4 linked regions of the Alligator mississippiensis genome follow. The protein of the gene in region 2 interacts with the protein of the main gene of each other region in a biochemical or structural test. Links are inferred from orthologs where the notes say so. Each region holds a gene or a part of one and is shown on either strand. Other genes may lie near its edges. The genes, in order: SDC2, CASK, CFTR and ATP2B4.

The links.
Region 1: the proteins of CASK (region 2) and SDC2 form a complex in vitro, tested with the Homo sapiens proteins (2 studies listed by BioGRID and IntAct, with this or other methods). The link is inferred for Alligator mississippiensis from reciprocal best matches to the Homo sapiens genes CASK and SDC2.
Region 3: the proteins of CASK (region 2) and CFTR interact in a test that uses a peptide from one of them, tested with the Homo sapiens proteins (2 studies listed by IntAct, with this or other methods). The link is inferred for Alligator mississippiensis from reciprocal best matches to the Homo sapiens genes CASK and CFTR.
Region 4: the proteins of CASK (region 2) and ATP2B4 form a complex in vitro, tested with the Homo sapiens proteins (2 studies listed by BioGRID and IntAct, with this or other methods). The link is inferred for Alligator mississippiensis from reciprocal best matches to the Homo sapiens genes CASK and ATP2B4.

The regions. Positions count from the first base shown.
Region 1 is NC_081826.1:41,881,306-41,889,157, reverse strand, and holds the start of SDC2 (syndecan-2), read left to right. Parts: upstream 1-4,852; 5' UTR 4,853-5,069; coding exon 5,070-5,129; intron 5,130-7,852. UniProt on the Homo sapiens protein: Cell surface proteoglycan which regulates dendritic arbor morphogenesis.
Region 2 is NC_081824.1:303,752,727-303,760,180, forward strand, and holds the start of CASK (peripheral plasma membrane protein CASK), read left to right. Parts: upstream 1-4,441; 5' UTR 4,442-4,456; coding exon 4,457-4,524; intron 4,525-7,454. UniProt on the Homo sapiens protein: Multidomain scaffolding Mg(2+)-independent protein kinase that catalyzes the phosphotransfer from ATP to proteins such as NRXN1, and plays a role in synaptic transmembrane protein anchoring and ion channel trafficking.
Region 3 is NC_081827.1:48,757,074-48,765,008, reverse strand, and holds the start of CFTR (cystic fibrosis transmembrane conductance regulator), read left to right. Parts: upstream 1-4,934; coding exon 4,935-5,000; intron 5,001-5,737; coding exon 5,738-5,904; intron 5,905-7,935. UniProt on the Homo sapiens protein: Epithelial ion channel that plays an important role in the regulation of epithelial ion and water transport and fluid homeostasis. Mediates the transport of chloride ions across the cell membrane.
Region 4 is NC_081837.1:39,477,874-39,485,379, forward strand, and holds the start of ATP2B4 (plasma membrane calcium-transporting ATPase 4), read left to right. Parts: upstream 1-4,498; 5' UTR 4,499-4,797; intron 4,798-4,806; exon of another isoform or gene 4,807-5,018; intron 5,019-7,506. UniProt on the Homo sapiens protein: Calcium/calmodulin-regulated and magnesium-dependent enzyme that catalyzes the hydrolysis of ATP coupled with the transport of calcium out of the cell. By regulating sperm cell calcium homeostasis, may play a role in sperm motility.

The sequences.
Region 1 (7,852 bases), on a different chromosome or scaffold from region 2:
GATACAGAAGTTTGATAGGCTGGTCTAACCCAAATAATTTAAGTTTGATACTACATCCATCCAGGTCTATTTTAGACCAGGTTTTGACATTTTTAAATGAGTCTATGCGTGCTGAACTTCTGTACTGTTATGGGTTTAGACTGGTTTTTGGTCATTTTTACCAGTTTGTGTGTAATGTCTGTACCGGGCCTCTGTGTTAGCTTGGTACACATAGGTGTGCAGCTACATACATTAGGTTGTATCATATTTTGCCTGGCTCAAGCCATGAATCCAGGGTCTAGAGCCAAACTTTCCCCAAATCCAAAGGTATAGTTTTCAAGAAGTACCCAGAGCTGAATGTTCCTAGCTTGGTATATAGATGGGGTCCAGTTTGGGCTTCTCAGTAGTCATAATCAGGGTTAAAATACCATGCTTTTGTCTCCCTGATTCAAAGCACATTTTTAAAAATTAGTCTTTAACATGGTTTGAACTTTTCCATCCTGACCATCCAAACTATATTATAACAATCTAGTTTGACCATTGTCAGACACTGGCATTTTGATATTATAGACTGGGCCTGATAGAGAAGTGGTCAAACTTTTGACATAAAGGCAATACACTGATTAATGACTGACAGCATGGATCATAAGTGTACCCAGGCAGTTTTTTCTTGGCTGCTCTGTCAAGTTTTTGGTCTCTGATTACTCTCCCATTGTAGTTCTTATTACATACTTGCTTTGGGTGAAAAACACTTTCTTTCTGCTTTGTGCTGGGCCTCCCTCTGGCCTCTCTTCCTATAAAATCAGGGCGACAAGAGAAGCAGGTGCTTGCACAATTGGCTGCAATAATACAGCACAGCTGTTGTGGAGTGGGGGCCACACATGTGACTGTTCCTACTGTAATATCAAGCTCTGGGGTGGACTCCATTAGGCATGCTGGGAAGCTGCAAGTGGATCCCAGGACATATACTTTTGTTATTCCTGTGACATGAAAGGACTATTTATTTTCTTTCTTTTTTTCTATTCACTTTTACCTGTTTAAACTTACAATAAAAATATTCATGCTGTGCTTGCGTCCTTCAGTCTCAGTTCTTCAGAAGTCAAAGCATGTATTTAGCATTAAGTGAGAAGTAAAAAATATGAATAAGTGTTTGCAGGTTTGGTGGCATTGTTTCCAAGTGTTAGACCCCAAGCTTGCAAAGGACTTGGTGGTATGTTGTTAGGGCCCTCTTGTAAGAAGCAGGAGTTAGATGTTCACACCTCCTTCTGGGACAGTAGCTACCTTGTGGACAGCTGGGTTCCATGAGGAGCCCTACTGAGTGTTGGGATCTACTTATGAGGAATTTCCTTGAGGGTCAGAGCTTAACATCTACAGCAGGTTTTGGCCTGGACTGGATTTTAGAGCTCTGTAGGTAAATCCCTGATAAGCAGGGGTTGTTACAAAAATATACCATATTTCACAGTGTATAAGTCAAGTTTTGAAGCCCAATTTTTGTGTCAAATTTTCAATTAAAATCAAATTTGACATACACCATGCCACATCAAAAAATCAGGGATGGGGCTCAGCTTGGCTTGGCACTCAACTGGTACAGCCCCATTCCCTAGAAGCGGTGCTGCCGGTGCCCCTTGCAGGGGATGAGGTTACGCCAGCTGAGTGCCAAGCCCCATTGAGCCAAACCCCATCAGTGGCACAGGCTTGCAGAGGATAGGGCTGTGCCAGCTGAGCGCCAAGCCTGGCCTTGTCTGCTGTGAGCAACACTGCTGAATGCTGAGCCTGACTCTGCTCACAGGAGATGGAGCTGGACTCAGTGTTCAGCTGGTGCAGCCTCATCCCCTGCAAGAGGCACCAGGCCTGGCACCGCTCACAGGGGATGGGGATGGGAATGGGGCTGGGCTTGGCACTCGGCTGGGGTGGCATCATTCCCTGTGAGCAGCACCAGCAGCACCGTTTGCAGGGGATGGGGCCACACAGCTGAGCACTGAGCCCAGCCTTATCCCCCTCCCCCTCCTCATCCCTATCTCCATCCTCATCCCCATCCTCTGTGAGCAGCCCCGGGCTTGGTGCCGTTTGCAGGGGATGGGCTTGGCTCTTGGCTGGTGCGGCCCCATCCCCTGCGAGCTGCAAGCCTGACCCTGACTCATACACCATACCGATGAAAGTCCTTACCTTTCACATCGGAAAGTCAGGGGTCTACCTATACATTGTATTGACCTATACGCTGTGAAATATGGTCAATGCAAGCTCTGTTTATTTGTTGAAAACATATTCCCAATAAACACCTGAGAGCTAAAATATTTCCACCAGAATAACACCTCCAGCCATGTTTTTTTTCACACTATTCAGATTCCTTAGGGGACTTCTTGCACTCAGCTTTCCTTTCTTGTCAGTCTCTTTCATTTTTTGTCAATTTTGATATCATTTGATTTTATTGTTTTGAGCACACTGTATAGTCATTATGGGGGAACCAGCCAAATACTTGTTCTGAGTTTGAAAGATGGCTCTGACCTTGGGCAAGTGCTGAGTTCTCAGTCCAACAAGCTGTTGATCAGTACAGATGGATGCTGATGTTCATGGGGCTCTCTGCACAGAGGTAGAGTTGTGCCTATGGTGATAAGCTTTCAGGATTTGAGGAAGTGACAAGGCCATGGAGTAGGATATTTGTACAAACTGGAGCTTTCAGGGCTGATGGAGATAGCCTTGTTCCCTCTAGAACAGTTTGTGGCTCAGTCTTGCTTTCTTCATTGTAAATAACCCCCCTATTAGGTGGTAAAATTACTGGTTAGCTGAACAGCAATCCAGCCAAACCTCTGCATGAATGGACTCCTCTGTCCATATAGAAACATGCAGATCTAGCAGTTGCCCATGCACATGACATGCAGGATCAAGGAGTATATTAAGCAATCTGTTTCTAGGAATAACTCCCCACTGAACAACTAACAAATATGCCAAAGCAGTTGGATTCATTTAATTGGGAAGTGCCATGTAAAAATGATGACTTGCGGCTCTATCCCCCAGATCAATATTTAAACAATAAGTAGGATTGCTGCTGGGGGACATCAGTCTCCTCAGTTTAGCTCAGGGGTGGGCAAAATATGGCCCGGGGGCCAGATCCAGCCTGCTAGGCCATTCTATCTGGCCCGTGGGACCCATAAGAAAATTAGCAAATTACTATTTATTTGCTGCTAGCTGCCTGTCAAAAATGACAGGAGCCAGGGGCAGTAGGACCCAGAGGAAGCTGGTAGCAGGATCCAGCAGCAAGGTCTGCCCAGCCCTGCCCCCTCAACCAGAAACACCTGCCTAGCAGAGGCTTCTAGCCAGGTACCATGGGGCTGTTCCTGCTTCCCTGCACCGGAGAGGGAAATGCGGCCCTCAACAGCCTGCCGAAACTTGGTAAGCGGCCCTCTGCCCAAAATAATTGCCTGCCCCTGGTTTAGCTCATGCACAAAGTGAACATGCCAAAAATGGCTCCCCTTTCCTGTGTGAACTGGATTTACAATGCAGCAGTGATATTTCTCTGTCTTTTGATTCCAGGGAGGCCCCCCTGAAGGCTCATGGGTGAGAAAGTAAGGTCAGAAAGGTATGGGATGGGGTAAGATATTATGTATGATGTTAACTTTTGTGTAGAGCAGCCTTGCTGATGGTGGGTCGTGTGGGAAGCTACAAGGCCATGGGGCAGGATTTCTGCATAAACTTGGGTGCTCAGATTGGGGGCTGGGGAGTAGCCCATCTCCTGCCAAAACAACCCACGGTCCTAGAGGGCTACACTACTCAATCCATTCATGGGGCAGGAAAAAAGGGGATCCAGGACTTGGGGAAAGCACATCAAAGGGAATCTCACATCTTTTTTCCCTACCACAGTGGGTCTTTATACATTCAGGATTTTTAAAGCTAGAAGGGACCATTCTGATGAACTAAATGGACCTCCAGCATAACACAGGTCACAGAATGTAACCTTGCTGAATTGAAGCCACACAAGCCCCTTTGGAGAAAGGAGGCTACACTCTGCCTTCCCAGTTTTTGCTTCCGTACACCCCATGTCTGGCATCCTTTGGATACACTCAAAGGACACATTCTTGTTGCTGACTCCTGCTACATGAGTTCCTGTTGTTGTTCTGCACATTGTTCAGAAACCCCAGCTCCAGCATTCACATGAGGACACGAGAATTTCTGCTTTCTTTTGCTTTTAAAACAAGTCTTCAGTCTTGGAGGCCATGGTGAACAACCCCCAGCTGCCAAGCTGACCTGGAAAGGCAGGGATGGAAGGCAAAGAAGAAGAGCTGAAACAATGATGTTGAAAAAGGAGATCTTTTTTGAAGTCCTGGGGCGGAACAGCTGGAGGCGGCAGCTGCGCGGGGCCGGCGCTGACACGCGTGGGCACCAGGTAAGAGGCTTGCAAGAGATTAGCTCCAGACACGGCTGGGAGAGGCGGAGGCTGAATCCGGTAGAGTGAGAGGGAGGGAGGCAAAGCCGGAGACTTTCCCAGTTCTATTTTGTTTTTCTCTCCGGCTCCAAGTTCTCCGGGCCGGAGGCAGGCTTTCGCGGTCGCGTTGCCAGTGTTTGCCATGTGGGCGGTGGGGGTGGAAAAGTTGCGGGGCCGCGAGCGGGCGGCGGGGGAGGCCGGCTCCTTCACTGGCTGCAGGAGCTGCCAGTCTGCGCTGCGAGCCCGGCTCGAACGGGAGCTCCGGGCGCAGGGGAGAGGGGGCAGGCGGGGCGGCCGCTGGCAACTCCCCTCGCCCGGACTCGGGTTCCCCGGCGGAGAGGACGGGAACATCAGCCCGGGTGGGAGGGAAGGAGAGAGAAACACCCCCCTCCTCCCCCCAAGCAGCCAACTCCGCCCTGGAGCTGGTGGGATTCCTGCAGCCAACAAGTGAGGAGCGGCGGCGCCAGAGGCGGCCGCGGGCGGGAGGGAGCCGAGCCGAGCCGAGCCGAGCCCAGCCCAGCCCAGCGCCGCCGGGAGCCCCCGCTGCTCGGCTGTGGGATCTGGTCAGGGCGAAGCCGCAGGGGAGCACTTGGAGCCGGGTTTTGTTTTTTGTTGTTGTTTTTTTTGCCTTGCCTGAAGCAGCCGCTGCCTCGCCCGCAGCCCAGGAATAATGCGGAGCGCGTGGATCCTGCTGCCCCTCGGCTTGGTGGCCTGCGTGTGCGGGGAGGCGGTGAGTCGGGGCCGGGGGGAGGAGGGCGGGGTGCCCCGGGTGAAACCCCGGCCCGGCCCGGCTCGGAGTCACGCCGCTTCCCCGGCGGCCCCTTCCCACCTGTTGAGCCTCCGCAGCGAGGGGCGAGGCCGGGCGGCGGAGCGGGAGCGCTGGGGCTGGTGACGCTCTTCCCGGGAACAAGCGCCCAGCCCGGGGGGACGGGGACGGGGACTGGCCCGGGCCCGGGCCCGGACACGGGCGGAGCCCGCCCTCGGCGCCTCCTTGGATGCTCGGGCCGAGGGTCCCCCCGGCTCCCCTTGCGCACACGCGGCTGCCCGGGCGGGGCCCCGGGCCGGGCTGGTCCATCGCCTCGGGGATGTGCGGGGCTCGGGAGGGGGTCCCAGCTAGAGCCCTCGTGCCGTCGGTGTCCTGCCCCCTGCATTGTTTTCCACCGAGCCGTGGGCTTCTCAGCTACGTGACCGGAGGCGGGGGGCACTGGTCCGGTCTCCATGCCGCCTCCGTGTTGCCGTCTCCGCCCGGCCCCGCGCCCCCAGAGCGCTGCTGGGCGGCGGGAGCTGCCCGACGACTTCGGGGCTTTCCCAAGTTGGAGCCGCATCCCCCCCCTCCCTGCTCCTCTCTCGAGCCGAGCTGCAGCCTGGCTCTTGATTTGTGTTGAGGCGGTGCAATGTGGAGAGCAGAGGAGCCGTTCCCGCAGGGCTCTGCCGTGCTCTCTCTGCAGCTTTTTTCGGCCTCCCCCCAGTGTAACACTTGCATCAGGACTCCTGAGGAACAATCAGCGGCTAAGGAAAGTCTGTTCCACCCTCATTCCTCCGGGCTTCGTGGCTCTTAACATTTTATTTACTTGGCTGGTAACATTTTATTTGAGACGCTTTTGCTGAACTTTGGGGGAATTTGAGCTTCTTGTACTACTTAGACACCGAAAAATAATAATAATCAAGGGCTTCCTGGCCCCGACTGACTGTTTATCCTTGAGAAACATTCCAGGCAAGCTTGTATCTGAAATCACAGGCAGGGGAAACAAGAGGTCTTCTATGAGAAACATGCAAGTGAAGCCTCCTCCAAACATGGAAAGGCTTAAGGATGACTCCTGCTCTGATAACGCGGTACAGATGTTTTTGTCTGAGATGCTCCCTACAAAGCTGCTGTTGGAGCTTGCTCAAACCACAAGCATATTTATTGCCCCTGCTTAATAAAATTTAACTCGTGGTAACTCGCGTTCCGGCAGAATCACTTAACCTTTCTGTCCCACTTTTTCTCTCCCTACAATAGTGTTTTAGGCTTTTAAAATTAATCGTTGAATAGAGCTTTAAGATTCTCGAGAGAGGGAAGGAAGTATGGAAATACACGGTTGCCCTTATGGTATTTTAAGGTTTTAATAAAGTCCATTATTTTTATATGACATTTAAGTTATCATGAAAATTAAATCCAATTAAAATGAGATGTTCTCCCAATAAGCTAAATGATGTCACTAAATCAATAGCTTTTTGAAAGTACTCAGCTAAAGAATTTCCTTTGGGATTAGGCAACTTTTAATAAAAACCTTTTATGGAAGTAGCTTTTTTAAAGGTGACAACTGTTAATTTTTTTCTTAACATCACTTTTAAAACAGTAGCTACTGGCATTAGTTTGTAGTATGGAGACTACTTATGTATAGAACTGAATTCAGGTAGTTCTAACAGCAGTCTTTAGTTAATGAGGTACAGTATATTTTAACTTTAATTTTACAGCTCTAATTGCTTCTAGAGGTGCCTTTATTGTGAAGTGCTTGGATGGAGTGGCAACCATTAAAGTGCCACAGCAATTAGTATAGTATTAAGTTTTCTGTTCAGGACTCATGTGTTCTTGAACTGTAAGCCATGAGGCCAGTTTGTTAGAATGTACTGGTGCTGGAAGTGCAGACTGAGGTGTCTGAAAAGCACACGCCTGTCTTTTAGCACAGCACAGGAAAGTTGTGAAGAGATTGTACAAGGAAAGGGAGAAAATGGTTGTAGAGTCTGGCTGCAGCTATGCACTGTCCTTGTTAACTGTCTTTAGAAAAACATTGGAGAATACTGTAAAAATGTAAATTTCTACAGAATATAATCCTTAAAGTGAGGGAAGTAAGAGGACTTTTTATGAATGTTTAAAAGTTTGCCAGCTCCCAGGGGGGCTGTGAAGTAGCTTTATGTCTAATTTCTTTTTCCCCTGTCTAGTTCTGATGGTAGCTCTTTCTTTTTAAGTTAGATGAGGCGACAGAAAAGAATCTTCCATCATTCCGTTTCCTTTTTCTGGAGGTAAATTGAACATGTGTTTTTTAAAGCAAGAACAAATGAGTTTATTCTGTTTGCTTAATGTGGCAGGTTAATCATTTTAAGGCTCAGCTGACTTATTGTAGTGTAGAAATAAGAAATGAGAGCCATGTAAATTTAAGATGCAAAGTATGCAAGCTGGTTTAGCAATGCATACTCAAAGCCTGGCTATTGGGTTGACAGAAATATTTGGCATATTCTTTCTGAAGTGGTCCCCAACCCATGACTCCTGGGCAGCATGTTGCCTGTGAGACTGTGTGAAGTTGCTTGCAGACATAGAAAATTTAAAAGTTTTTAAATGGAAATTCACAGAGACCAAAGTACAATGTTGCACAGAGCATGTTCCTTCATCACTGTTGCTCATGGACCAGGGAAGATCAGGGACTTCTGCTTTAGAAACTTTCTTCCATGTACTGAAAAAAAAGCAGCTTGTAG
Region 2 (7,454 bases):
ACATGTGCTGGCACATATATGTCCACACACATGCACGCAGAGCAAAATTGAGCATTTGTGTTTCTGGCTGTTAATCTCCCAGCCTCACTTTCATCTCTTACATAAAGTGAGTCAGGGAGATTAACAGCTAGAAACACCAATGCTAATTCTGCTGTGTGCGTGTGGGGAGGGTGCAAGGGCATGGCCTTCAGTTTGTGGTGCTCATTTGACACGGTTCTTTACTTTTAGAGGTGCTGAGAAACCTTCACTGCATTTGGGCATCATCTGCATGCTAGTAGTGGAAAATTCCCAAGTTTGGCAGATGTGAGTTTTTCCAAGGCCACATGGTTAAGTTGGGGCTTTGGGACTTGTTGGGAGTTTGGCTCCAAGTCTATTCTGCCACACAGCAACATAGGTGGTGAGTGAGAAGATGGATTTGTGAGATGCAGTGAGAAAAATTAGAGAATCCAAAACAAATAAATGAGGCTCTGGAAAAAAACTGGCAGAGAAAGAGGAGACTGCATTCCTTCTTGCACCTAAATGTCCCAGTGAGGTCAAAAGGCTACCATCCTTATAAGTAAACCATTCCAGAAAGGGACACGCTGAAAGTCTTCACTGCTTACATTTTAGGCAGTTACGGAATAAATTTTATTGGGTTCTAGAAATGCTGCAGAGATTCAACCTGAAAATTTAAAATTAGGCCTAGGCCCCTTATGGTTGGCAAAATCTAGCAAGGTCTGTTGGATGCTGTGGTGAAAAATATCAGTCTGCTGCCAGAAAACAAAGTATGACTTCCCCCCAAGTTGGGCATGACATCCAAGATCAAAACCACAGACAGGCAGACAAATTCATTCTCTGTCAGGATCTGCTACTAATGCTGCTCTGCTAATACACTCGGGTCTCTCTTTATGCGAGGGTTGCATTCCAAAAAAATCCTTGCATAAAGCAAATTTGCAAAAAGCGAATCCATTATTACATGTAATTAATAGGGATATGTACCAGCCGCACTCTACTGACCCCCCAAACCATGACAAATTCAAACAGTAATCACACAATACAATAGCTGCTGCGTGGAGAGGCTGTGAGCACACGCAGGGGGCAGCGCAGGGCAGGCTAGAGAGGCACCCAGGGGAGGGAAGCAGGGTGGCAGAGAATGCCAGCTGCTCGCCGTGCCTGGCTCCACCCTGCTTCCCTTCCCCAGGTGCCTCTCCAGCCTCGTGGGCACAACTCAATGCAGCTGGGAACAGCAGGAGGGAGTACAAGCTCCCTGCTGCACCGGGTTACACCTGCTGGGCTGTGGAGGCACCCAGGGCAGGGAAGCAGGGAACTGTGGGGCCGCACAGAGAAGGTGCTTGCCCTGAGAAGCAAGCAGCAGCTTGTGGAGCAGGTGCATTGCCAAAGCAGCACGGGGTGAGCACCTTCTCTGTGCGGCCCCACTGTTCCCTGTTTCCCTACCCTGGGTGCCTCCACAGCCTAGCAGGTGTGACCCAGTGCAGCAGGGAGCTTGTAGCCTCTCTGTGCAGCCTCACTGGGTCACATCCACCAGGCTGGAGAGGTACCTGGGGCAGGGAAGCAGGCCATCAGGGAATGGCAGCTGCTCATCCTGCGCTGCCCTGGGGACATGCCTCCTGTGCCTGCTGCTCTTTGGCAGCGGGATGCAGGTGTTGGGACCAGGCAGGGAGAGGAGCCGAGCTGGGCCCAGGATTAGGGCCAGGGCCCACTGCACCCATGCATCTGCCCCTTCCTCTTCCCCTTGGAAGTGTGTGCGGCAGCGGGGAGCTACCGAGAAGCCACTGGAGGGTCCATCCTGCTCTCTTCTTGGGCCCTGCAGCTGCGCACTGCAGCTCTAGACCCCATGTACCCGCTGGCTGGACAGCAGCCCCAGGCCTGCCCAGCTCCCTCCCTACAGGGACCTCAATCCCCCTCTTCCCCCCGTTACCTGCCAGAGCTGCCCTCGAGGCTACTTGGGGCCATGTGCATGTACTTGTGCATGCACATGGTGTCCCCTGTCTTGTCACCTCCCTTCTTCTTCCTCCCAGCTCCCTGCCAGCTGGAACTCTGCCAGCTGGCAGGGAACTAGTTTCTGGGCAACTTCGCATAAGATTGGATTTTTCTTGCACAAAGCAAATTAAAGGTATAAATTAAGGTCATTGCATATAAGTGAATTTGCACAAAATGAATTTGCATAAAGAGAGACCCGAGTGTAGATCAACAATCATATTCTCTTAGCCTCTTTCACTTGGGGTTTAATAAGAGTGGTTTTTCTGCTGTAGAGAACTCAGAAGGCCCGCAACAGGTCCCAGTGTGTTTGATGCTACGGATTCTGGCTTGAAACCTCTGGGTTTATCTTGTGAATCAGTTTGCACATTCAACATTACAAACTTTGCATAGCACCCTTGACAGGCTCTCCAGGCACCCCAGGGTGCCACAGCGCCTTAGTTGAGAATCACAGGTGTAGAAACTGTTAGAACACCTTATGGGACACTTCTTAGTTGGGCTCTCTTTGACGTGTGGGAAGACAGCATAGCCTTTGCTGTTAATGAGTTTTAACCATCCCTTGTGCGCCGAAGTTATTTTTGAATGCAATTAACTTGACAAAATGAAAACAGAAAAACATTTTTCCTGGATAAGAGCCTCTGCGTACCCCTCCAGGGGCACAGCTTCCCTTTCCTTCTGCCATCGGCTTTTTGCCAATACCAGGCAAGCATCCGCTGGCACCACCTAGCCCAGCGGTTCCCAATGACAGATTGCGCACCACCAATTTAAAACAATGCGACCTTAAGTACCACCAGCAAGTGTTTCAGCTTAACCCTAAGTGCCCCCAGCCAATTTTTGTCATATGAAGTAATGATAATAAATCGGTTCACGCACACCATCGACAGATTGTCTGCATACCACTGGTGCTGCCTGTACCACAGATCGGGAACCGCTGCCCTAGCCTTTTTTTCCTGCCCGTCCTTCCGCAGGTGCCAGAACAGGGCCAGACCAGGGGCTGCACATTTTGCAAACGAAGCGACTGCGGACACAGCCCCGCTCGGCGGGACAGCGAGAACCAGAGCCGTTCAGCTGCCTCGCCGAAACAAGAGGCCCCCGGGACTTTGCTTTTCTTCTCTTTCCAGCGGCGGGCTCGGTTTTCCTTACTTCGAGAGACGACACTGCACGCTCACAGAGAGAGGAGGGACAGAGGCTGAGGTGGAGCCTGCTTCTCGGGCTGCAGCGGGAAAAGAGCCGGCAGGACAAGGACAGGGACTGCAACATTACTCGGGGGCATCATCCACATCCTCCCTGCCCTTTGTCTGCACGCGGGGCTCCCCGCAGGGGGGGAGAGGCCGCCTTCCTCCCCGGCGGGGGCCTCACGAGGGAAGCAGCCACCCCACCCCGGATGACGTCACACAACCCTACGCCTGCGCACTCCGGCTTTTCCCCCGCGCTCTCTTACGGTCAGTGGGCGTGGCTCTGCGTGCGGAGGGCGGGGCGGGGCGGCGAGGCGAGCTTGCGTGCGTGTGTGGAGTGGGCGGGCTGCTCGGAGCAGCCCCGAATGCGTGCGTAGGATGCGCGCGCCGGCGGGGGTTGCGTGACGGGTGTCGGCGCGCGCCCCTTCCTCCCCTCCCTCCCCGTACCGTGCGCGAGCGGCGCGCGCAGCCAGACGGCGCTGCCTCCTCCCGCCCCGCCAGCCGCCGCCGGGGAGGAGCCGCCGCCGCGGCCGGAGCAGCAGCGGCAGCAGCAGCCGGGGCCGCCGCGGGGGGAGGGGCGGAGGGAAGGCGGAGCCGCAGCGCGGGCGCGGCTGGAGCGGGGAGCCCGGCGGGGCCGCGGGGGGCACCTCCCCCTCCCCCCCGCGGGGCGCGGTGGGACCATGGCCGACGACGACGTGCTGTTCGAGGACGTGTACGAGCTGTGCGAGGTGATCGGCAAGTGAGTGCGGGGCGGGGCGGGGCGGGGCGGGGATGGGATGCTCTGCTCGCTGGCGCCCACCTGTGCGCGGGTGTGTGCGCGCGCGCGGGTGTGTAACCGCTTTATGTAACGCGGCGGGGGAGGGGGTGACCCCGATGCCCCCCGGCCCCTGCAGCAGCTGCTCTGCCGCTCCCTCGCATCCCAGCGCCGCCGGGGCAGGGCAGCAGCCTGCCTCCCCGCGGCCCCGCCCGGCTGCAGCATGCCCGCGTTGGCGCTCAGGTAAGGGCCGCTCGGGCTCGGCGCAGCCCTCTCCCTCCCCCGCTGCCGGAGCCTCCTCGGGCTCCTTATGCAACGGCTGCTCTCAGCCCAGCTATGGCTGGAGGGTCCCTGGTCTCTTCTCCTCAAGCTGAGGGAAGTGTGAGAAGCCAGCCAGGTCCCCCTGGGGGCAGCCACAGCTGTCCTGGCTTTTGCCCTCCTAGTCTTGCTGGGTCGTGAGGCAGCAGTAGCAGTGGGATGCCGCTTTCCAGTGTCTCTTTGGTTTGGAGACAGCTGAGGGCTGAATAGAGGCTTGGGCAGTCACTGTGGCATGCACTATTTTTTGCTGACGGATCTTTTGAGGAGGGACACTTTGCAATACCACCTTGGTTTAAACAGGTTTGTGTGTGTGTGTCTGTTTTCCCCCCCTTCTTCCCCCCCCCCCCCAACCTCAGCAGACCTGAAATGTTCTGAGAATTGCCGGCTCCTTGGAAAGCTGGAACTAAAACAGGCTTTTTTTTTTTTTTTTTTTCTTGAGCACATCTTCCCTGGGGATTATGCCAGTATGTCAGTCTAAGACTCATGGAGTGACCGTGTCCTTAATGTCACATTCGCCCGTGTTTTGATACTTCTCGTTTTTTTCGTTATGGCACAAGGCATGCACCCATCCTGAATGTCACCTGCCGTTTCCTACAGATGTCTTCTCGGTCATAAAGCTTGAAGGGACTCGTTTGGCAGAAGGACCACTAATAGTCGTGGATGTCATTTAAAGCTGATCAAGAGAAGAAAAGCTTCTGGGGTTAGGAAATTGGATGGCAACTTTGGTATTACCAGCATGCAGAGCAATTTCAGATGATCCGGTGTTGAGCTGCACCCTTCCCCCCCCCCCATGAAAATTGCATGAGTGTGAATTTTTAGTACTTTTGTATATTTTATTTGAGTAGGGTTAGGGCCAATTAAAAGGGAGGCCTAGTGGATATGCCTAATCTTAATGTGGGCACTTTCCAGAGATGAGTTGTGCAAAGGGGATTGTTGCAAATCTTGTGACATTTTTAAAATGATTCTCACTTTGTGTGAATACTAAGGAAAAGGGGCCAGAGTTAAGTGCTAAGTATCTACAAAACTTCAAAATAAATATTTTGGCATTTTTTAATTGTGTATGTAGTAGACAAAGTTCTTTGTGATGTAAATAGGTTAAAATTGTCAGAAATTGTTAAAATTGTGCCAGAGGAATAGAGTGGGCAGTTAGATATCCTAACCTGTGACATTGTCGTTGCTGCTAACTAGTCAGGATTGTATAGCCAGGTTCTTCTGTGAGGATCAGGAAGATGTCATGTCATTCCCCTTAAAGAACATGTTAATAAATAAATAGCTTAATTATTTGCATCAGTATTCTTGTCACTTGAATAATACCCTGGAGTTACGTGTTAAGGACCATAGATGGAGCTTCTTGTTTTGTTAATACCTCAAGTCTGTGAAGCTTTTCCGTCTTGGAGAAGCCTGTGAAAGGGCAGTGTAAATCTGCTCCGAATTGCTACATATGCATCTTGCTAAACACCTTTCAGTAAAACATCAACTAAATGTCTGCCCATTCCTGTGACTTATTACTGATTGATACAGTAATTTAGCTCTTGGAAACAGCACACCTGGCCTTGATTTGCATTTCAGAGGCATGAAATATTTAAAATGTGTGTAATTTATCTTTACTGAGTAAGTGGCTACCACTGCCATCTTACGTAGAAAAACAGGTGGTTTCAGGAAAGCTATGGAAGGGAGAACTGTAACAAAATGTTTTTTTGCATGTCCTTTGTAGATGTTGAATAGGTTTTGAAAAGGTAAATTCCTAAATTTCTTTTCTGTTGGCTTGGGAACGCAGACCTCCTTTGGAGTCAGTCTTCTAGTTGACACTTGACTGTACAGCTTGCTGTGTTAGTCTCTTTCTAAATCTTTTAAAAAAATTTTAATGAGCTGCTAAGACTGGCAGGGTTATTTTATCTGAACAAAATGTTAATTGCTTTTTAGCTTGTTGCATTATAATTTGGTAAGAATGAACTAGTTGAAATGGTGGCTGTGATGGTAAAAAGTCAGGCAGTTAAGGAGCATTGCACAAGTTGAAGTTCTGTTAGCAGGGTTTCTTTTTCTTTTTTTGGGCATGGGAGGAAAGGAGTGTCAAAATTGGGGAATAGATGTACTATTATGAATATATCATCAGGAAAGTGGTGGTGAGTGACTTTTATTTGCATACACTAATACACACCTTTTTTCCTTAATAATAAAACAAGCCTCACACGGACGAGTAATCAGGACAATATAATTTCCTTCTTAAGTTAAAGGCAGCAAAGCTTAAAAAACAATCAGTGGTGTCCTTTAGGATGCAAGCATTGCTCGAGTAAATTTACTTTGCAAGTTCTGGGTAAAATTTTGGATTCTTGACATAACTTGTTCACATCCACATCCCTTCTCGCATGTGCTTGCCCAAGAGTAAATAATTGGGGTGGGGGCATGCTAGCCTTCACAAACATTAAATGTTAAGGGAATTGGCCATGAGGTAAAGAATAAATAACTCCTTTGATTCAGACTTCAGAGGTTTACCTAAAAGCAACTCACTTGGGATGTTAGAAGGCAGATTACTACAAAAACATTTAAATGCTTTTATTTTCGGTAAGGCAAAGTACTGGATTCAGAATTAATAGATAATTACATCTGGTACATTTTGTGTTTAAAACATTAATTCTGGCCACTTGCCAGTTGCAAAAAAGTTGAAGGAAGTGAAGAGTTTTACCATTCTAAGTGTCACTGAAAGGTATTCAAAGCTTATTGTCTGCAGTCTGTTTATGTTGAGACATAGTATATTTTAAGCTTAAAGTAATTCTCATGCCCTTCTAATACTGAATAGACACTTCCAGTACTCGCCCAGAAGACCAAATCGTGGTTTCTGTGTTCAGTATAATTTTCTTCTGATCCTTGCCACATGACTATCTAGTTTTGGCTTGTATCTGACTTTGACTTGGTGGGGCTATAAGATTCATATTTTTGGTAGTCGTGTAATGCTGACATGTTAGACTGTCTGTGATGATCCAGACGTACACTAGAGACTGCTTTCATTAAAGTTGCCTACCCTGATGTCTTTCTCTCAGAACGCCTTATTTATTAATATTTATCATTTTACTTCATTGCACTGTGGTATATTCATGTTGAAGGAATATTGTCAGAACTAAAAGTGCACTGAAGTCCTCTGGCTTTACTAATGGCTAACATGGGTGTAAAACTGACCCTGTGCCCTAGGCTGGATCTAGGTGTGTGGTGTGGTGGTGGTGGCAGCAGCAGTG
Region 3 (7,935 bases), on a different chromosome or scaffold from region 2:
TGTGGATGATCTCTTTTATTGAACCAAGTGCATGGTTGGGACACATTGAAACATAATTTTAGGTATCAGAGTAATCTTCCTTCTGGGAGAGAAGCAGGCACAGCAGAGTGAGTGATTACCAAAAAAAAAAGAGTAAGGGTGCTGTGATATTCCCTCAAATTATCCCAAATTTACCCCAAATCCCCTAACAAATCACCCACAAAAATCGTGCCTCTCACGTTCTTTAATGTTTTAAAAATCTAGCAAATCTTATTACTTAGTACTGTTGCAGATAAATTTAGGAAACAATTCTGTCTTATACTTTATAAATCCTGTTTCGTAGAGCAAAGATAGTGGGAAGTGAGGTTAATTTATTGTTTGACATGGGGTTATTTAATATGCAATAGTGAAGCACTTTCTTTTGTGGTCAGTATTTTTAAATTGCTGTATGTTTCAGCAGCTGACTGTTGCTGGCCCTCAGCAGAGCTAATAGCTAGCTTCATGTTCTTTTAAAAATGAATCTTCTGAAAACTGAATTTTCAGTAACATAGAATGTTTGAAAGTTATAGCAAGTGAAGAACCTTGTTTGATAGGACATTCACAGGAAGAGGGGATGAAACATAATCAAACCCATAATAAGATCTTACTTTGCTGCAGCACCTGAAGTACTGAAAACAATTCCAGAAAGCTGGTGCTGTTGGCTGGTGACACATAATTTCTTTATGGATGACTGAATTTATCTTTGCCTGTCTATTACAGGGAGGATAGATGGTGCAAACACTACCTACACACCTCAAGTTATACCTGAAGGGGAGTTACCACAAGTGATTAAAAAGAAACCTGTGTGTGGTTTCTACTTTCTTCTACCAACAGGGATGACTGTCTTTGATAGAAGGAGTCTAATCTAGTTCCTGAACCCCAAATCCTTCAATAATTTCTCAAATACACATGCTGTCCCTAAGTGTTTTGAACCTCTTAAGTCCAAAAGTACTGGGGGCACTTAGAAGTTTGCAGTGCCAGACACAACAGATCATTTCAGGACATGCTTGTGCCAGTCTCAAGGTGGGCACGCAGACACACTTTCCTTAGGGAGGGAAGGCATTGGTCCTAGCTAGTGCCTATAGACATATTTGATACCCAAAAGAGAAGGCAGTGAAGGTAGGTTTCATTTTGTACCAGTTTATAGAGCTGGTTTCATATGATGGCTGTGTCATTGGTCATCTGGTTTGCTCATTCAGGCAGCTCCTCTGCATACCTTGTAGCACAGGTCACACCCAAATTGTTGCAATGGGGCAGTGGTACTCAACTGGCTTGTCCAGCAGGACAGATGGGCAGTGCCCAGTCCCTCTGCGGGCCAGATCCAGGTGGTGGCACCTAAGGCAAGTGTGACAGGGCCCCATCTAGCTATGCAGAGGAGGGCAGGGGGCAGCCCAGCTCTGATCTAGCTGTGTGGGGGAAGGGAGCATGACCTGGGCCTGATCGAGCCATCCTGGGTGAGGGTCATGGCCCATCTGTGACTCACTGTGCAGGATTTGGGATTTTTGCAGTGAGGGTGGGGGTATTAGCTGCCACTGCTCCCCCACTGCCAACTTATCCAACACATGGGGAGTCCTGCAGGCTAGATGCCAAGGCTCTGGCCTGTGGGCTGGAGGTTGAGCTTCCCTGGTCCAGAGCAAAAAGTAGTGCTTTGGAGATTCAGATTTCTGTACCAGCATGTCTACTTCAGGATTGCTGGAGGCAGGAAACTAGCTGTATCTGTGGTACTGGGAATTCCCCTGTGCCGGAGGAAATTCCATTTAGTGAAATATGCCAAGTCTGAAGCTGCTTTTTGATATTGGAAGGATGCACAGCAGCCTTAAGCAGGGCCAAGAATACAGAAATGACAAAGACAAGGTGGTGCCCATCAGAGAAGCAAGTGAAGTTGCCCAGTAGGTTCGAGTTTGCCTGTGTGGCTGTGCAAATTAGAAAACCAAACTGCTACAGTAGGTATGTGTTATAGATTACAAAAGGGAGGGAAAATGAAAGGAAAAAGAAAAGAAACAAACAAACAGAAGTTAAAACAATGTGTCATGTATATGGTACCTTTGTATCTTTCCAATAGTGTGTACTTTGTTACCAGGCAATCAATCAAAGAGGTGGAACTTGTTTTCTTTCTTTTCTTCTCACCCACAGTACACCCTTGAAACTCATTCCCTGCTGGGTTTCACATATATATGCCCATAATAACATCCCTAGTTAGTGGCAAGACTCTGACAGCACTACAGGTTTCCCTGTGAAAGAGTTCATTAAATGCCAGCCAGTAATCCGGTGGCATTTGTTAACGTAATACTTTAAAGCCAATCTGTTTATCTTTATCCTTGCTTTCTTTGTGTCAAAAGAGATTTTGCCATGACAAGAGAAATGAGAACCAGAAATGAGGAATTAATGCTGGTATTCCTAACGAGTTCAGAATGTTAAAGGCCAGATTCACTGAAAATCTTTGGTGCCATTGTTCTAAGGCAGTGCAAACTTTTAATAAGCCTGATATATATGGCCAGTTAAACTAGGTTTATATTCACTTTACAGAGAGGAGTGAAAATCCCCCCTCCTTCCCCCCCCCCGAGTATAATGGTGAATCTGGCCCTAAAATTATGATGATGGGTTATTTATATAGCCTTCTAGCTGGTGCAAGCTATTTTGAAAGTATACAAAGCCTGATATTCTTTCTGACAGCACTTTCCCAAGCATTTTCTGAAAATCTATCTTAAAGGGGGCGCCATGACGCAAACTGTCTCCTAGAGATCTGAAGTCAGCTGATGCAGCCTGCAAGTTAGCCCACAAAGCTGGGGATGCAGAGCAATGCCAGGTCACCCTGGAAGTACATACGCCTCTGTGTAGACTCAACTTTTGAAATCCTGACTGCAGTTTAGAAGAGCCTGGAGGGAATTCCTGGAGGAAGATGGCATCATTGCTTCCCTGCTCATAGCAGTGAATCACCCTTGACTGTAACTATCTCCATGGGTGGGAATACTGCAACTCTTGTGGATGCAGGGCTGAATCGAATCCATTCTTAAGGTAGAACAGGAGGTGCTTACCCAGTAATTAGGGTAAGGCAAAATACACCCAGTTTAGGATAAGGTGAGGGGATGGGCAAAGAGTTGTAGTTGATCAGCTACTCAGACCACATTCCCATGAGTACAGTAGACCTGACTTACTTATGCTCCCTTCCTAACAACTTCTCTGCTTCAAGCACAGTAAATTTTGTTTCTTCAGGCTGTGGCAAAATGCCCAGTTAGATGCTAATCAAAAATGCAAATAAAAAAAATGTAGAAAGAAACAATGTAGTAGAGACTGTTTTCCCAAAATATAGGGGGTATGAAACTGTAAATCTTTTTTTTCCTTGTCTCAAGATAGATTAAGAATTGTTTAGTATAGTTTCAGAGCATTATGCATGGGCTTACAAGGTACCTGTCAAGGGCAGTCACCCTTATTAAACAACAATACTTTGGAATGAAGTGGGGAGGGGGGCGGAGGGGGGAGGCGCTCTTCAGAACTATCTTAGCTTACTTGCAGTAGTCATGTAGTATTCCCTCAGTTTTATTCATTTCATGATTGCCAAATTTTCTGAATGTACTGCAGTTTCTTTTATGAAACAAATTGGCAAGTGTGTTTTTTTTCCCAAAGGACAAGGGATTAGTAGTGTTTGCACAAGCCATGTACACAGTTCCTTTCTGTCATCCTGTACATGACCTAGCTCATCCTTCGAGGTGACCACCCAGGATTTTTACCTAACAAGATTTTGAGTTATTTTAAATATGAAGGCATTCACAAGAATTAGAAATGTATCTCTGATATCACTGTTCCCTAACTTCAGCAGCAAAAGAGTTCATGAACAGCCTGAACAGTTTTCCCCTTGCCACTTTCAAAAGCATATTCTGATCATTGGTTTTACCGTGACATATTATGAACTGTGTGCACTTTTTCATGTAAACTGCAGCTAAAGACTGAGCTGAGACCAAACAATTTATCTGAAACAGAGGATTTCTGTGGTTGCAGAAGTGAAAGAAAATCCTTTTATTGCTTAAAAAAATTCTCCAAAAAAATGCTTAAGCATAATTATCCACTTGGAATACATCTCATTTCCCCAAATGCTTAATAGACTAAATTAGCAGGATTATTGATTTATTATTCACATGATTATAATCTTTTAAAATATTTGTAATGTTAGATTATGTGTGTACACACATGAACATTAAGAGTCATACACATGCATTATGCACCTCATTTACAGAGAGGCCTCTGTATGACATGCATAATATTACTTTTATACTTACTTACGTCCTTTATGCTGCCAGAAGAATATAACGTGGCCTTAATATAAATCAAGAATCAGGTTAATTTTCTTTATATAATACACATTTATAGACACACAGAGTGACATTTACACTAAAAATAACCTCCAATAAACAACTTCTAGCCTTGAAATGACCCTCTTAATATATTCCTTAAAGTTTTGTTTGGCCCTTCATTGCAGACTGTCTCTTTTAGGAAACATATCTTGTAAGTCTTTTCTCTTTTGGATGGCTTCAAATTTGTGGGCTAGGATTTTCTGTTCATCACTTTAATTGTAATCATAAAATGTATTTTTGTGACAGATGGACAGACACATAAAAATGCATGCAGCGATTACTTGCAACCTACTTCTTACAGTTATCTACTTAATTATTTTGTAGAAAACGATTATATTTAACAATGAAAGTAAAGCTTATTTTCACTGTAACCTTAGGCATCTCCAAAATGGTACTTCTACTACTGTATGTACTTTACTATGTATCTTAAAGATGCTTGTTAATTGCATTTTTCTTAATCTTATGTTTTCAAATGACCTTATTAATAAAATATGATGAAAAATTTGAACAGGATCCCTTGGGGATTCATTTCAAGTAGTGTGCACTATAATGCATGTAAGGAGTACCATGAAATCAATAGCTGATTCATTACAGTTACTAATGACTGTAATGAATCAGCTACGAGTGTTACTCGTATAGGGCAGCTAGTTAAGATTATCTTCTTGGTTTTTTTTCTGTGAGTTGATAGATATTTTGGAACCAATATCAATAGGAATGAGATTAGGTCCAAAATCTTTCTTACATTTTAAGTGTCCAAAAATTATAACTCAGTTATTCCTTGAAAGTATGGCTATCTGTCATAGTAGTTTCCACTAACATTAATGGAGATTATTATTTAACCTGAACATTGTGCTAAAAATGTACTTTTTAAGGCCTGTATTAAAGTTAAAAAAAAATTGAAAATGTTTAATAATGGATAAAAGCTATCATTGGCACATCCATTATGCCTTGATCTTGCAAAAGATCACACATAATTTTCAGTGTCTATTGCCAAGTGAACAGTTATGCATATAAACAATAAGTTAAATTTCCTTACTTGTAAGATTAACTTCTGTTTCTAATGTAACAACATTTTTATGTAATATTCATTAGCACAGAGACTACACATTCTTGAAAATAGAACTCCAAAGGCCCAGTCTACTGCTCACTCTACTCCTAGTGATTTTTTGGGGGAATGTTTGTGTAAGAGTCATGCATAAAATAATCCAATTTAAGAAATCCAATGCTGTTCTACTAATGTTATCCTTACCTACATACCAAAGTATTCAAAAGCTACATTCTTGGTTAACAAAGTGTCATTTTATGGTTTATTTTGTAATGCTCTGTTGCATAGTGAATTATATATGCAGTGCTGGATATGACCTAAATAGCTAACGTCCCTCCAAAACGAATCTTGGAATGTAGTAATAAATCTTCTTTTGTTTAGGTGGACAAACCCAATTTTGAAAAAGGGTTACAGACAGCGATTGGAATTGTCAGACATTTATCAGATCCCCTCCGCAGACTCTGCAGATAATCTTTCTGAAAAATTAGAAAGGTATGATTATGTACATATTTATTAGCATTATATCATGATGTGGATGGCAATGGCTTGATCTGGAAGAGTGAGTGAGGACTAGTGAAGGTATCAATTCAGCTTGCTTAATTGTAACAGGACACCAGAAACACTAGAACAATAGAGTTTTCAGCTGCTTTTAAAGTCCTGGTTAGGTTGCGGGCAGTAATGGTTCAACCATGTCGTTGGCTTAGTTTTGGAAAACTGGGTCACTTCTGGCCTGGTTTCAGGCTTGCAATCTCATTTTTAGTTTTGTGGCTGCCTTCTTCCATATCAACATATCACACCACTACCAACTATTTTTTCTTCATAGTCTAAGAAAATTCCATCCCGTTGTTTTAATATCCAGGGCTAAGTCTTGTTCTCAGTTCTACCTACTTAAGTCTCCCTGCCTTCACCTTCCACATACCCCCTTGGCTTTCACCTTTCTCTTCCAGAGCTAAAAATCATTTTCCTCAGGATCCATCCTCACCTTAGAACTTCCACCTCTGAATCCCTCCATTGGCTTTCTTGAACAAAGGAAGTTTTTCCATGATCTCCTTTCAGACTTTTATGACACCAACTCCCTTCACTTCTATTCCCATTTTTTTCACTCTGCCAACACCTTTTTTCTCACTTCTCTCTCCCTGTTTTCACCTTTTGCCTTCTTTCATACTTCAACTCCAACTTTAAAAAAACCTTCCTCACCTCTAGTGCAAAAGACACCTGCACGCTCTTTGTTCAAATCCTTCTTTAAAACATACTTCTGCAAAGTCTATCAAAGTTAGCATATCCTTGCTGCAGCTGATGAATGGAACCCATGTTAAATATATATTATATAAATGGGAACTTCATGCACTGTTTGATATTTGACCATCTCCAGAGGACCAACAAAATATTTAATTGTGTAAGCAGAATGTCAATGGCTTAGGGTGGTGATTTTCATTTGTGGTATTGTGACACCCAGGGGTGCCTTGATATTCTTTTAAGGGTGTCACAAAGTGTCATGCAATACTAGCCCTGCTAGATGTGCAAACACCTACACATGTTTCACAAAATAAACCCAGAAATTTCAAATAGAAATCCATAGCTTAAAAAAAATGTTGACTGGTTGTGGTCTTTTTGAGTTCTTTGCAACATAATAATCACTTTATTATTTTTTCTGTTGTCAAAAAAGGAGTACAGTTAGTTTTTGAAATTGAGTGCTGCTAAATTAAAAAAAAATGATGGAGAATACCTTGAGTCTAAAAAAAGTTTAGAACAACTGGAGTATGGGGTTGGTACTGCTACAGGGGCATTTTTACTCAAGGAGCACTTGCAGGAATGAATCCTAAATCATAAGCTAATTTACTTTCTTTCACAGATTATTTTAAAAAATAAAACAAACCTAAATCCTTAGGATAAACTTCCCTCATTCTCCAGCATAGTTCGGATCTGCATAGCAATGTGTGTCCACTAACATTAAAAGTAAGATGGGAAGAGAAGAAAAGAACACAGGTCTCATTTGTGGACAATGACTTTGAATGGAACTCTTTTAATGGAAGATATTTGTCTTTATGTATATTCCAAGGGATTGGATGTATTTTATAATATTAAATTTGTCATATGATAAGTTGTATTTATTAATAAAATAAAATGGGATCTATGTTTTCAAAACTGATGGCAATGTCCTGAACACATTGCTGCTACTCAGTAATTATTTATACAAGGCAGAATTTCTAGACAATATGCCTCCAATTAATTAACCTTTCCCTTTGAATATACTTTACTGTTCTTTCATTTGCCAGAATTCAAAATTAAAAATGAAAAGGAAACTGTATTAAGAGTTTCCAAAGTTATCAAATACATACTGAATATAAGTATCACAAAGCGTGGTATTTCTCTCCTTCTGACTAAAGATGTACTTCGTGATAGGAAATTACCACCAAAAAGCCCCTAAAGAATTGACAAAAACTAATGCAGTTCATTAAGCAGGCCACAGTTTAGAATACTTTTTCTTTGTTTTCTTCTTGCTGAGGGACTGGAGGAGCTCCA
Region 4 (7,506 bases), on a different chromosome or scaffold from region 2:
CAAGCTGGTGCCGCACCCCATGTGGGGGCAGCTGGGCTGGGGGATTGCAGTACATGTGGCAAGAGCTGTGTGAACCTCCCACATGGAGAAGGCTGGACCCCACCGAGGCAGGCAGGGGCAACGGAACAGAAATGATTCCACGAGCTTCACGACACGAGCCCTCGGCCACCCATGGAAGGGAAGCACTCTCCTTAGGATGGGGAAACTGAGGCACAGACCTGAAGTGACTCAGGATAATAAATTGGGGCGGGGAGGGGTCCTCCTGTGCTCAGAGGACAGGGGGTTTGGTTCCTGAGGAGGGAGGGTGACCCACAGGATTGGTGCTTTCCATGTCTCCTACATGCAGTGCTCCACATGCAATGAGGGTGGATGGGGACTGCCAAGCTTCCTGCCAGGATCTGGAGAGTGGGAGACTGAGCTGCTCCTTGACCAGGCCCAGGAAAGCCCCTGCCTTGCTCCTCCCCAGCGCTGGCTGAGCAGGGGTGGGAACCTAGGGACCTTAAGCTGCTTGACTGGCATCTTGATTGAATATTTTCAACTCACCCCATGTGGCCAAAGATGCTCCACACTAGGTCACAAGTCACTTGACCCAAGACCGGTGTTCATGGCTTGGCTGGGATGTTGCGTGTTGGGTTGGGGAGGCAGCCAACTACTGCGCCTGATCTCTCAGCCATGACAGAGCATGGCACCCTCCAGCCCAGGGGTTTGGCTGGCCAGAGGTCGCTGCAGGATCAGGGCTGCCCAGTTCCAAAGAGCGATGCTGCCATAGAGAAAAAACCACACTTCACCAGGCTCGGGGAGAAGAGCCCTGCCAGGCATTTCTGCCTCCTCTGGCTTCCCCTTTGATCCAAGCTCCCGGAGCAGAACGGAGAGCTCCATGCCTGTCCCCTGCTATGGCATTGGAAGGCAGCTGGGCATGTACCCTCCTTCCCCACCCTGAGTGTATGATGAATCTCTGCCCCCATTGAACAAATGGGACTCAGGGCCTCTGCAGCCCCCCCAGTCCCATGACACTGGAGCGGCATCACATGCAGTGCCCCTTGCACTGTGCTCCTCTGTGCAGCATTTATTCTGCAGGGTCACAAGACCATGCGAGTGGGTGGCCTTGTGACCCACAACGTGCAGCTGGCCGGGCAGCATGGGGGCTCAGACTGGCATTGCCTTCCTGACCCAGAGCCCAGGGGTTCCTGCTGCCACACCTGCCGCAGGATTCAGCTTGTCTTTCCCTCCACTGCCAGCTGGCTCCCACAGTGGGAAGGGGGCAAAGCCGTTGTGCCAGTTCACTGAAGATGCCCTGTGGTGGAAGGGAGTCGGGTTGGATCAGAGGCCTATCCAGTGTGTCCTGCACTATTTGCCCTATTTCCAAGCCTCAGAGAAAGCAGAGCTCATGTCAGAGCAGCTTCAGGGTATAGGGCACCAAAGGAAGGCAAGGGACTATATGGTATCTTTTTCCCTGCTTTGCCTTTGTCCCGGGTGTCACAGCGGAGGAGTTCATAATCAGGCCCCATGCTACTGCTGTCTGGTCTATTTAACTCTAGAAGGACTCAACAGCAAGGAGCATCCTACTCTGAGGGTGCACATGTACTGCTCACTCTTGTGCTAGGGGAGATTCTGGGTCTTCCCAGGCCCTGTTCTTTTGCCCTGAGAAACAGAGGCAGCTTCTGAATGTTGATGGTGTGTCCTGGTGCAATGGAAACCCAACTGCCAGGAGGTACCTGGTCAGCTGGGATGAGAGGTGCATTTCTAAGCAGATTTGGATTCCTTCAGACTGATCTGGCTTTTCCCAATGACAGCTCATGGCAAAGGGGGCTACAGCTGCTCAGCGCGTCTGAAAACCTCTGGATTCACTTTAGCTCCGCTATAGGCCCAGAGGGTGAGACTCTCCAAATTCAGAAAATCTTTCTAGAAAAGCTGCTGCATTTGGGCAGTGCCCAACATCCCAAACAATCCTGATTACAAATATCTTCTGCCTCCCAGGCCACCACGTGTGGGTTTTGGGGTTTTTTTGTTTGTTTTTTTGAAGTCACAGCTCAACCACCCAGGAAATTGCTGAAAAAGTCACTGTTTTTCCTGTGGGACCTCTGGGTGGGTGAGACTAGATTCTGTTCCCGGAGGCCTCACAAGGAAGATCCAGTCCTGAGGTAAGATCTCTGGGGCTTGTCTGTACCACATCCCTATGGTGCCTAGGGAAGTGTGATCCACAGCAGGCTCTGTGGGCACCTTTACTACTGGGTTTCTGGGTCTGGGGTGTGCCAGCAGGGGTAGGATGGCAGGCTGTTCCCGGGAGCATCCTCTGCCATGCTGGGGTGGTGGTATAGATGCATCCTCAAGCTCAGCGTGCTTCAGTCAATAATAGCATTTCCCTACGGCGCGGAGATGCTGTGAAGATAAATACGCTGAAGACTGAGAGTGCTGAGACACTATATGGTAATAAAAAAAAATAGAGGGAGAGTGCCAGTGGCAGCTTTGACTGGGAAGTCACTGTCTGTTCAGAGCTAGGAAACAAGTAGCTCCTGATTTGGCACTTGACTTGGAGGTAATCCATCCTTAGAGAATCAGCAGGGAAGAAGGACTTTGCCCCTGAAAAAGGAGATCCACCTTTCAAAATACTCAGTTCAAGCATGAAAACAATGCACCTTTAAACCAGACGTGCCAGGGGCACGGGGAGCATTTCCCTTGTTAAAGAAACTGCAACTGGGTGGATTGAAACCGTCATATTAAGACTTTGACTTTGTAAAGGGCTTGTGCTTAGGAACAACCTTATTTGTACACTGCAATAACAAATCCCTGCACCTTTTGGTGTGTGTAAAGTTGCTGGTGGAGAAGTGTTCACAGGATCCGGCCTTGGGTTTTGAAAAACAAATGCTACCCAAACGAGTTGGGGCTTGTCTACACACAGTTTAAATCAGAAATTGCTGAACCCAACAGCAACCAGGTTGGTGGCAGGGGGAGGGTGAGGGGGGTGGTGAGCACTGGAAGGCATTACCTAGAGAAGCTGTTGTGGGATCTCTGTCGCTGGAAGCATTTAAGAGCAGGTTCGACAAACATTTGTGTGGGGGGTGTAGAGAGGGCTGATCCCGTCTGGAGCAAGGGTCAGAGTACAGGTGACTTCCTGAAAGCCCTTCCAGCCCCGTGTCTGTATGAGCCTGTGCAACTTGCACCAGTGTAACTGAACCGATGTGTTCCCCCCACCTCCCTTTAGTCATCTCCATGCAACATGATGTATAGATCCAGGCCTAAGCTTGATAGAAACGTTTCCTTGATCGCTTGTTTGTTTGCTAGGAAGCAGGCCCTCCCCCCACTTTTTTTTTTTCAGTTGCCTTTCTGGGTTTCTTCATGCAAGTAGCTGCTGGCGGTGCAAATTTTCCAAGGCTGGCAGCTTTTCTCAACCCACAGGTTGCGACCCAAAAGTGGGTCACAAGAATATATGAAAGGGTCACAAACAAACTTTTAAAATGGATTCTCCTTTAAATGAGAAAAATGTGAGAAGTTGGGTTTTCACAAGGCACAGTTCCAGCCTACAAGAGGCTGCTTGCAGCCCCCCTTGCCCCACACACTGGGGGGCTGAGGGTTGGGGCCAGGGGTGGGAAGCAGCAGATTGGGAACGAGGGGCACCGGCAGGGTTAGGGAACTGTTTTCTACTTAAACTACGTACTGGGTCGGGACTAACCATCAGTGTTTACAAATGGGTCCTGGTGCAAAAAAGGTTGAGGACCACTGCTGTAGGGCATCCTCAAAGGAAACCAAGGTGAAGCAGGTCAGCCTCCTATCAGTTGCCTGTGCAAAACAATGGGAAAACGTGCCCTTTCAATGTCCTGTGCCCTCACAAGGGCTCCTAAACCCCACACGGGCCCCACCACCACAGCAGGACGGGGGTTCAAACCCTTCCGTGTCTTCTCCCTTGACTCAAACAGACCCTGCTTTGCAGGTCCATGGGGATCTGCTGGGAAAAGCAGGTTTGCACTAGGAGATTGCAAACCCTGGGCAGGAAATGCTGGGGTGGGTTTCTGCCTCAACCTCTCTCTTGAAACACCATTCTCAGAGACAGGGGTGTAGGTTGTGGCCGCCTTGGTCCAAGGACACAGGCAAAGACAAGGTTGTTTGGGTAAATCGGGTCTCTTTTACTGGAGATCAGACTGACTTTTTATTCGACCGACTGAGGGAAAAAAGAGATCAGGTTTACCCGAGGAACCTTGTCTGCCTTCTCTGACACTGGTTTCTTTTCTGCTTGGGTTTGCAAAGGCAGGCATGGAGCAGAAAGCAAGCGGCAGGGGGATTACTGCTGTCTCCCCCTCTCCTCCCGCCCGGGCTCTGCCCCGCGAAGTGCCCGGGAGCTCCCACTCTCCTGCGGCAGAGGCAGCGCGGGCACTTCTGCCTTCCCTTTCTCCCCCTTAAATGCAGCCGCAGCAACAGGGCGAGCGCGAATCCACCTTAAGAGAGCGCCTCCTCCTCCTCCTCCTCCTCCCCGGGATGGGGTGAGCCCAGCCGGGCTAGGAGCGGGGTTGCCATGACAAGCATTTTCTGAGCTCGCCCCGCCACTGCAGCGCTCGCGCGGGCGGAGCAGCCCGGCTCCCTGCGGCCGCGCCCGGCGGGGGACGGGGCGACGACCCGGGGCGGCTCCGCAGCCTCCTGCCCCTGCGCGCCCGGGACCAGCCGGGTCTTGCGCCCTCCTCCCGGCCGCGGCCATGCGGGGCGGGCCGGGCTGCGGGCGGCCGGGCAGGACCAGCTGCAGCCCATGAATTAAGTGCGGGAGCGGCTCCGCCTCTCGGTGTCCCGAGGAAGCCGGCAGTCCAGGACGTGAGTTTTTCCCTGCTGCCCCCTCCTCTGCCCGGGAGCTCCCGCCAGCCCGGCCGGGGCTTCGCGATCGCTTCCCCGGCTATAGTTAGCAGCTGCCTCCGGCTCGGCGCTTGGGACCTGCAGAAACTTCGGCGCCGGGTTTCCCTGGGCTTTGCGGGGGCGTGAGTGCCCCAGCCCCTCCAGCCAAGGGAAACTTTGCCTCCGCTCCCTGCAGCACAGAGGTGGGGGCTTCTCCTTCTCCTCCTTGCCCTTCTTCTTCTCCTTCTCCTCCTTGCCCTTCTTCTTCTCCTTCCCCGCCTTGCCCTTCTTCTTCTTCCTCTCCTTGCTTCCCAGGCTGGGGCCATGGTGGGATCTTCCCCTCGCCAATAACCCCCAGGAACCAGAGCAGCCTGCCTAGGGGTTGTCGGGGTGCTGGGGCTGCGCGGCTGCTAACACAGGGACCTGGTTATGTCGTGGTGGGTGCACAAAGCCGGCTCTGTGTCCCCACCGCTGCCCACCAGCCTGGCTTCCTTTTGGGGGGTGGGATTTTGCTGCCCCAGCAGGGTCTGAGCAGTGCCGGTGTATGAGGAGGGCTGGCCGTCTGTGGGTGGGGGCAGGACGCCTGGCAGGGATGCGGGCGTGTGTGCCGGCTGCTCAAGGGGGCTCTGACTGCAGGGAGAGGGTGGGAGCGTGGTGGAAGGCTGGCACTGGGCGCGGGATCTGTTGCGGCTGCAGCAGGTGGGTGGGACGGGCAGCAGGCTGTTGGAGCGGGCTCAGCCGGAGGGGGAGGCAGGTTGGCAGCTTCAGGTCCCCCTCCCTGCTGTGCTGTGGCTGGGGTAGGGTGCAGGGGCAGAGATGAGGGGCCAGAGTCAGATTCCCTGCAATAGCTGGGGTGCAGTTCATGGCTCTGGGATGAGGCCCTGAAGAGGGGTTTGGGGGGGCGGGAGGGGTTGCAGGCTCTGCTGTCAGCATAGCCAGCTTGTTCTGGCTGAGGCCCGAGATGCACCTGGGTATGAGGAGGCGGGGGTGTCTGTCCGCTGCACTGGATGGAGAGGATACCATCTCTGCAGCTGACTCCGGGCCTCTTGCTGCAGCAGGTGGGTGACCCACCCCCTGCAGCAAGGAGCGGTTCTATCTGCTTCCCCCCCAGCCTCCTGCCAGGTGGGCAGGAAGAAAAGCTCCAGCCTGGGAGAGTCCCATCTGTTGCACTGAGTCTCCTTGGGAGAGCTGCATCCACACACACGCATCTCCCTGCCCTGGCTATGACTTGGTCAGCTTGCCCTTGGAGTGGCAGGGAGATTTCCCTGCTGGCTCGAGCCTCCCTTGTGCCCTGGCTGGCTTGCTCAAAGGCCACAAGGGGTTATCCACAAGTCGCATCTCCTGTTCTGCGTTGTGGTGCGGTGGACCGCTAGGATAAGGCCCCATGGTGGGAGCTGGAACCGTGCCGGTCTCAGCCCAGGCTGCCATCAGCCCATGCTGCACAGCAGCACCATTCAGCATCCGCTCTCTTGCCACCCCCTGCCTGGGAAGGGTTGGAACAGCAGCAGGGTGCGGGCTGCAGGTCGGGATTCGGATGCCGTGTCTGAGCTCTGTGTGGGAGCCCCAGGCGGGAAGCGCCGGGCGTGGCGTCGGGTCTGGCGCGAGGTACGTTTGCCTTTCCAGGGCTGGTGGCCGGAGCAGCAGGTGGGCTGCAGGCGGCAAGCGGGGAGAGGCATCAGCAGGGCATGCTGGGGAGCAGGGGCTACTGCAGGCAGAAATGTGTGTGTGTGTGTGTGTGTGTGTGGCCAGCATTGGGCTAGTGGGGCGTGCGTGGGGTGGGATTGCAGTGCGCTGGCAGTGCCGGCCGGGCCACGCCTGGTGCTGGCTGTCCCTCCCTTCTGCCTGCACCGCTCCAGCCCATCCAATCAGGGTTTAAAAGAAACAAGCCAGGCAGGAGGAAGGGGCGGTGGTGGTGGGGGACCCAATCTAGCTCCAGACAAACGCCCTGGCTCTTCTGACTCCTGCCTGCCCGCTGAGCCCCCTCCCAGGTCCCAAATGCTCTGGAGGCCCGGAGCTTCCCTCCCTCTTGCTGCGCATCTGGTTTGAATCTTGGAGCTCTGTGGGAAGGTGGTTCCTGTTATGCAGCCTGGAGTCAGGCTCCCTGTGTCCAGCCTGGACCCTATCCCCTGCCCTCGGCTTTTCCTTCCTGGGAGGAGATTGCGTAGGCTTGAGGCAGCTCGTAAGGGCTCCGTGCTGGACCCTGCTCGCAGGCCAAGCTCTCTGTACAGCCAAGGCCCGTGCAGAACAGAGAAAAGGAGTGGGAGGTGGTACAATGGGTTATTGTCCTCGTACCTCCGGATCCAGGCTCTGCTCGTAAACAGCATCCGTGATCTGCGTGAGCTGCCTGTCTGCAGTGCAGCCCCCCTGAATGGGTCAGCATGATGGCCAGGCTGCAGGGCTGGGGGCCAGGGGGCAGCCTGGCTGGAATAGACATGTCCGCAGAGCTCCTGACTGGAAGGACTGGTGCAGCACAGAGGGGCATGGGTGGGAGGGTGCGGAGTACAGCGTGGGGGCAAGACGCATCTGTGCAGCACTCCTGGAAGGAGCCTGGTCCCAGTAGATAAGTGGGGCTGTAGGTCTGGCCTGAGGGTGGGAATGGTGTAGGTGCGTTGAGCCGGGGCAACGTGCCACAGGGGTTTGTGCAAGTGGCCTCAGCTCTGCGTGGCTCCTGATGCTGCCCTCAATCTTTCA